2 linked regions of the Danio rerio genome follow. The protein of the gene in region 2 interacts with the protein of the main gene of each other region in a biochemical or structural test. Links are inferred from orthologs where the notes say so. Each region holds a gene or a part of one and is shown on either strand. Other genes may lie near its edges. The genes, in order: rnf7 and ube2f.

What was found.
Region 1: the proteins of ube2f (region 2) and rnf7 form a complex in vitro, tested with the Homo sapiens proteins (10 studies listed by BioGRID, with this or other methods). The link is inferred for Danio rerio from reciprocal best matches to the Homo sapiens genes UBE2F and RNF7.

Annotation. Positions count from the first base shown.
Region 1 is NC_133193.1:44,696,419-44,700,233, reverse strand, and holds the end of rnf7 (RING-box protein 2), read left to right. Parts: intron 1-2,725; coding exon 2,726-2,844; 3' UTR 2,845-3,143; downstream 3,144-3,815. UniProt on the Homo sapiens protein: Catalytic component of multiple cullin-5-RING E3 ubiquitin-protein ligase complexes (ECS complexes), which mediate the ubiquitination and subsequent proteasomal degradation of target proteins.
Region 2 is NC_133176.1:8,055,121-8,059,449, forward strand, and holds the start of ube2f (NEDD8-conjugating enzyme UBE2F), read left to right. Parts: upstream 1-1,343; 5' UTR 1,344-1,576; intron 1,577-3,238; 5' UTR 3,239-3,379; intron 3,380-3,529; 5' UTR 3,530-3,561; coding exon 3,562-3,679; intron 3,680-4,329. Other genes in the region: si:ch211-93g23.2 (uncharacterized protein), read left to right, coding at 998-1,094. UniProt on the Homo sapiens protein: Accepts the ubiquitin-like protein NEDD8 from the UBA3-NAE1 E1 complex and catalyzes its covalent attachment to other proteins. Together with the E3 ubiquitin ligase RNF7/RBX2, specifically neddylates cullin-5 (CUL5).

The sequences.
Region 1 (3,815 bases), on a different chromosome or scaffold from region 2:
ACTGCTTATTGGCCATTGTGTTCACTGTGACTGTGATCACTTTCAGTACCAATTAGTACTAAAATCAGTACTTTTGACAACATTTTGGCTATGTGTTCCACTACATCGCATAGCACTGTACATCATTCTTGAATAATTTGTTATTAATTAGTAGTAGTATTATTATCAATAATAGTATTAATTAGTATTAATAAAATGCTTTTTGATCATGAATTATTCCTTGCTCTTAAAAGGATAATTCACCCCAAAATAAAAGTTCTATCTTGTCATCTTTTTCTCACCCTTCACTTGTCACAAAACATGTTACAGCTTCTTTTTTTCTGTTGAACACAAAAGAGGATATTTAGAATAATGTTTGGAAACATGGAACCATTGACGTCTATAATTGTTTTACCTACTATGATAGTCAGTGTTTAAAAAAAAAATAAACAAGAAAAATAAAATTTTGTTAGTTTCTGTCGTTTATAATTTGTAAAAAAAAAATAATAATAATAATAAAAATTGGAAGGTCACGCACAGCTTCAGTCAGAAGTTTGAGGCTCACAGTTCGTGCAGAGTTCAAGGTCTGAAGAGCCTTGTGTGAATCTGTACTGGAGAGAAGCCAATACTTTTGAGTTAGTAGTGTTCAGGTGACCTTGTACATTGCCTAAATATTATTCTGTTGTTTTTTGCATATGATAATTCATACTTAAAGCTGAACTGAAGACTCATTCGTTACAATACAATTAATTGGAAACATTTTGAATTGCATCTTTATATTGTTTTTCCTGTTATATATTTATTTATTTATTTTTAGTCTCAGAAGTCTCTTTAGTCTCTTTTAGTCTTTTTTTTTATGTCTCAGAAGTGTCTTGTTGACATCCCTACTAGTAAATAATACACTTTTTACACTTATCAGATGCTTTTGTCCAAAGTGACTTACTGTATGCATATTAGGGTTAATCCAACTAAAGCAACCTGGGGTTAAGTACTATGTCCGATGACACAATCCATAGTATTCATTTGCGTCATCAAACGCACCCTGCCATCACACTAGTTGGTTGGACAACTGGTACAATCAAAGGACAGCTCTCATGTTTGATATTTAAAGCAGCAACACATTAAATATATAATTAAATGTTTGTTGAAAAGTAAAGAGGCACCTAAATGTCAGCATAGCAGCTGCAAGTTGTCTTTTATTTATCTATCTTTTTTTTTTTTAGGATAAACATTTTGAAAATGTTTTGCTTGAACCAGAAACACGCTTTTATAGTTTTATTGAAGGTTGATTTAAAGATAAAGTTGTATTTATTTTGTTCTTAAAGTAACACTATGCTTAAAAAAAAACATTTTACAACTCTCTTTTATTTAAACAGTTGAGTTTTACAATTTATGAAATCATTCAGCTGATCTCCAGGTCTGGCAGGACGCTTTTAGCTTAGCTTAGCATAAATCATTAAATCGGATTAGACCATTAGCATCTCCCTAAAAAAGGCCAAAGAAGTAATACCTTTCCTATGTAAAGCTTGAATATTCTGTAAATACATTATGTACTAATACTAGGGGCTGCACGTTACATTTTTTTTTGTCTATAAATATTGTGATATGAATACAATTTCATAGAGTGATCTGTGGATGATGGCTGTTTTTTGTTTGTATGTTGTTGTTTCTTTAACGCAACTATTAACTATCTTCTGTGGGTTTTGATTTAAATATGGTAACTGAAATAGTTTATAAAATTTATTTGAGTCTTGGAAAACACCAAATGACCCCTTGTCATTGTCCTGCGAAAATTTCCTTGCTCTGTTAAACATCATTTGGCCAATTTTTTAAAAAGAAAAAAAATTAAAACGGGGGCTAATAAATCTGACATATATATATATATATATATATATATATATATATATATATATATATATATATATTTATATATAATTTTTTTTTTTTTTTTAAGTAAATTTTTGTAAAATGGTTGATTTTGGTCCATTCTGTTACTACTGTCAAAATAATGTCATCAAATATATCTGCCATGTAACAGCCAATGAAGCCGATACTATGAAAATAAACAAGCTACTTCAAATTCAGAAGACACAAAAATACTACTCAGATATTTGCCCTCACATCTTTTCAACTAGGGCTGCACAATATTGGAAAAATCTAAAATTGCGATTGTTTTTTATTTTGCAGTATATATTGCGATATGAATACAATTTCACCAGATGACTTAATATCTATTTGGAAGGAATTTATGTTAGATACATTGGGATGATTCTGCAGTGGAAGTGCATCTTCAGAAAATCCAATAAACAGTCTATAAACGTTTTAACAATCTATAAATACGATCAAGAAAAAGATACAATTGAAATAAAGTGTTCCCCAATCGTTTCCCGAGTCTTACCGTATTCAAGTACAGTAACTGAATGATAAAAATAATAAAATAAAATTATCATAGTTAAGGTCACAAAAAATTGTATACACCTGACTGCTTTGAAAATCATTATACAATCACAGGCATCATGTGAATGAAAACGCAGGCAAATGATAAATTATACAAACATTGCATATCCTGCGATGTGACTATTGTGAATGATCACGTCGCGATAGCAATGCTGAAATAATATATTGTGCAGCCCTAATTACAAGCCGTTATTTCTTTCTTCTATGGTACAGAAATTATTATTATTATTATTATTTTGCCATCAAAGTTCAAAGATTTACAGTTTTTTTGATTGTGTTTTTCTCTCAGTGGTGTGGGGAGAGTGCAACCACTCCTTCCACAACTGCTGCATGTCCCTCTGGGTGAAGCAGAACAATAGATGCCCACTATGCCAACAGGACTGGGTGGTACAGAGGATCGGCAAGTGAAGACTCAAGCTTCGTTACCCACATCTCCTCCGTCCACTTTGGCACTACTCCGCTTAGGGAGACCAGACTGACTTCAGAGCATCTCGAGGTGCTTAGTGTGTAAGAAAACCTCGGCGTGTGCATGTATGCGACCATGGAGGCAAAAATCCAGAACTTTATCCCTCTGTCACCTCATACAGCATTAAGAAGAGATCCGGCAAGATTCACTTAAGGGTGTGAGCGTGACTTCATGTGCGTTGATCTAACTGTGAGTGTGTGTTTTAATTATGTTAGAAATAAATAAATAAATAAAGCTGATGTTTATAGGAGTGTGTTACTAGTGATTTTTAAAAAATCATTTTCTGATTATGCTTGTTGTTTTAAATCAATTATTAGTCATTACAACTGTTCAGATGTCTTTAAAAAGACCTCCCTGGACGGGAGCAATATTCACTAAAAAAAGGAAATTATGTCAACAATTATGCATATTTTATGAATTCAAAGTACAAATTTTATCTGATAAAATATTTTACAGAACAAAACTAGAAAGAAAAATAATGTCAAAAACTTTTCCTTGTGGCTTGTGCAGCACTGAGAGCTGTCTGACAAAGCATTTCGTAAGTCTTTCTCCAGTACCCTGCTTATTTCTCCATCCTCTGCTAATTCCAGTGAAACAATTAGCTCAGGATTTGAGAGCTTGCGATAAGTCCTGAAACCCATGAGAACAATTTCACAATCAAAGGTGTAGTTGCTTTTAAGTCAACAGCAATTAATTACATTTGTATTAAAACTCCCCCTGCAGTGTTTCTCATTATGGGCTTTTGTTCTAGAGAGCGTAATTGAGAGTAAATCTGATGCACAAAGATGTATTTTGGTGGTTGACATGATGTTTAAGACATTGAGACAAGCTTAAATCACTGAGAATTACAGCCCAGCAACATTAGGTACCTTGTAGCTTGTATTCAAAATCATGTATATTCATATTTGTTGGA
Region 2 (4,329 bases):
TGAGATGACAGCGCTACCCACTGCGCCACTGCACTGCCAATTTGTATAATACACACATATTTTATCTAAATATAAATAAACATTTAGTCAAATATATTCATGCATGTCTGTATTTATAGACACAATTAAAATACACAGAACACACATTTAAGTCATGTCGAAACAAACTTTTATTTTGGATGAGATTAATAATGATTAATTTTTGCCCAGCATTATATGTACTTTAGGGAACAGATGATCACAGATGCACGGTTTACTTCATTTATTTAAACAAATAAATTGATTATCGAAATATGAAATGAGAATTAGTAAACCCCTTTTCTTTTTAAAATATTTCCCAAATGATGTTTAACAGAGCAGGGAAATTTTTCACAGTATGTCTGATAATATATTTTTTTTCTGGAGAAAGTCTTATTTGTTTTATTTCAGCGAGAATAAAAGCAGTTTTTAGTTTAATTATTAGCCCTTTTAAGCTATATATTTTCCCGATAGTCTACAGAACAAACCATCATTAAACAATAACTTACCTTATTACACAACCTGCCTAGTTAACCTAATTAACCTAGTTAAGCCTTTAAAAGTGACTTTAATCTGTATAGAAGTGTCTTGAAAAATATCTAGTCAAATATTATTTACTGTCATCATGACAAAGATAAAATAAATCAGTTATTAGAGACAAGTTATTAAAACTATTATGTTTAGAAATGCTTAAAAAAATCTTCTCTCCGTTAACATTAAACAGAAATTGGGGAAAAATAAACGGGGTTTAATAATTCTGGGGGTTTAATAATTCTGACTTCAACTGTGTGTTTGTGTGTATATATATATATATATATATATATATATATATATATATATATATATATATATATATATATATATATATATATATATATATATATATATATATATATATATTCCGTATGTATATATATATATGAATTGCCTTTTAAAAATAATTATTTAATATGATTCTAAAATTAGTTTTTTTTTTCAGGTTGTTGGAAGCAATGGGAGCCTCGTCGACTGACACAGAATTAACAGTGATAGTAAAATATTTTTATATATTAGCCTCTAAACCGCGTAAATCCTGACATGATCCTTCAAACCAACAGCTCCATCGAACAGCATCAAAGCATGTTTTGTATCTCTGCTCTGAAGCGTTTGAACAATAAACACTTCACTTAACACCACGCTTGGATTTACTGTGTCATGGGTTTAATATTGCAAAGAACTCCATAAAAGAATTAGCTAAAGTGCTGTAAAGTTAAGTGCCTCAAAATCTCATTTGGGCTTTGTACAAAATAAGGGCGGAATTTTATTTCTGGCGTTTGATTCCATACGGAACTCTTATTAAATGAACGGAACAACTTCCGGCTTCTAAACCGCTCAGGCAGCGGAAATCATTAAACTCGGCGGAACTAATCCTCGCATCGTTCCACTCAATTTTGTTTCTTTTATCGACGTTCAGCATATTTTATCTTGAAGTTGTTTTGGGGGGAAAACGTGCAAAATTCACGTCGGGTGTCCCGATTATGGTGTAAACAGGGCAGTTCAGTCACTCTGACAGCGGCAGGTAAGTGCATTATCGATCGCAGCCGAGTTATTTCACATATTTAGAGTTGTGTTATGAATGTAAATACCTTTTAGACAATATATTTAATTGTGTACGAAAATATTTAGCTGAATCCTGGTATAAATTATGCCCTGAGCGATGAGGATTAGATTGTAGCTGCTAGTAAACATGTTAGCAAAATAACGCCTGGTGACACTAACTGGTGAATATGAAAGTTTGAATGGATTTAAGTCATGCTAAGTTATCTGCACATTGAGTTCTTATTATAGACCATACAACATAGAAGTTGTGTTATAGTTTTAATATTTCATTAAAGGACGTTTTGTAATGGCATTAGAATGAGGGTAACAGATGGTAATAACATGCTACTTTTATTTATACAGCTGTGCTGACAGAACGCTCTATTCATCTACTATGGTATTACCGTGGTATTCCAAGGCATTTAAAATGAGCCATCGCTTTATTTCAGTACATGTTTAGAAAGAAGCTTTATACTTTATTTGTAGTAAGTTACAGTGGTATGGTATTACTGTGAAGCCAATGACATGCCAATACAATTCGCATTAGAGATTTCGTACCTTTGTATTTATTCCAGTATAATAACATACAGTTGAAGAATTATTAGTCCCCCTGTATCTTTTCTTCCCCAATTTCTGTTGAACAGAGAAACTTTTTTTCAACACATTTCTAAACAATAGGAAACAACTCATCTCTATTTAACTTATTTCTTTTGTATTTTCCATGATGACAGTACATACTATTTTACTAGAGAATTTTCAAGACACTAGTATTAAGGGTCTAATAAGTTTAACCTTAAATTGATTTTTTAAATATTAAAAACTGCTTTTATTCTAGCAGAAATACTACAAATAAGACTTACTCCAGAAGAAAAAAAAACATCAGACATACTGTGAACATTTGCTTGCTCTGTTAAACATCATTTGGGAAATATTTAAAAATGAAAAACAAATTCAAAGGGGGCTAATAAGTCAGATTTCAACAGCAACTTTATTAAAACATGTGTTTATAACACCCATATTTGTTGTTATTCAAATATAGCAGTAGTAGTGTTATTATTCTACAAACAAAGTTATAATGGTTTACAAATGATATTAAAGGACAGTCTGTCATGTATAATAACATCATAGGTCTTTTGAGCTTAATCGTATAACAAGAATGCTAAAGCTAAAATATGTTCAATGCAAAGAACTTAGTTACTGTCTTAAACAATAGCTGTCACAACAAATTATTAACATCAATAAATATTTCATATTTCAAAGTTTAAACTAATAATGCAAAATCAGTGTAATGTTTACCAGTCTTGTTTTTGTATCTAGACTCTATATCATAGGGTTACCAATCTCGGTCCTGGAGGGCCCGTGTCCATGCAGGGTTTAGCTCCAACTTGCTTCAAAACACATGCCTGTATGTTTTGAGTATGGATAATAAGACCTTGATTAGCTTGTGCAGGTGTGTTTGATTAGGGTTGGAGCTAAGATCTACAGGACACCGGCCCTCCAGGAACAGGTTTGGTGACCCCTGCTCTATAATATTAAAATATAAAAGTTATGTAGTTTGTAGTTAGCATCACTATAGTTTTGCTATGTTTTTAATGTTTTTATGACACTTTTAATATAGATTTACTTGTTATTCATTTTTTAGGTTTTTATGGTAATATTTTACAGTAAGTATTGCTTACTGTAAACTTTTTCTGTTACCTACATTAGTTAACTACCTTTTAGAAGAATAACTGAAAAAAAGGAGAAAAAATGTGAAAAGGAGTGCTGTTTTCATTTTAGTTGGGTAAGTTCAACTTAACGAACGTTAGAAATGTTTCTAAGATAAAGTTTAAGTTATAATAATTATAATAAAGCGGATATATATGTTTTTTAATACTTTCACTTGTGTTTGGTGTTCACTGATGGTCATTGTGTGTATTTGTGTTCCTCACAGGTGTGTTAGGGTGTGTATGTTGGTCTGCGGGGATGCTGACGTTAGCCAGTAAGCTGAAGAGGGAGGAGGGCGTAAGGGCCGGCCGGACCCCTGCAGGCTCTAACGATGCCGCTCATAGAGTGTCCATCAGAGATCGACTGCTCATCAAAGGTATGAAAAAAACACTGCCTGCTGGGATCATGACACACTGGTTTGCGTCTAGTGGTTCTGACCATTTTTAGGTCTGCCCTGATTTCACAGTCAAAACATGTAAAGATGGACAGGTTATCTGATGAAACTTCTGGAAAATACTTGAATTTCAGACATGGATTCAAGGCCTGGAAAGTAAGTAAAGACAAACATAGGTCCGTTTAAGTGCTTGAATTAAATTTTAAATTAATTTGCTTATGGTTTTTTTTCAACCCAGTTGTTGAATACAGAAAGAAAAAAACTGAGAAATTCTTAAATAAAAATATTGTAAAATAACACAGACAAATAATGCACATTTTATCGATATATCAGAAACTGCCTTTGAATATTACCAGTAGGGTTGGCCCGATAGACGATGCCTTCGTCCATTGCTGATGGCCGATAGACAACATGATGCTGAGGCGGCATCGCGATCCTCCACTCCCCGTTGCAAACCTGCTCAAGAAAAATACACACTCAGCCCCCGTTAACACTCATACGTCTTAGTTTTAAAATGGCATTTTAGAACAAAAATGATTGTTTACCTAGCATTTCTAAACTGCCCTCCGTCCGTTGAAAATTCACATCACCTGACCACACACAGACACAGCCACACACACTGTCATGCACTC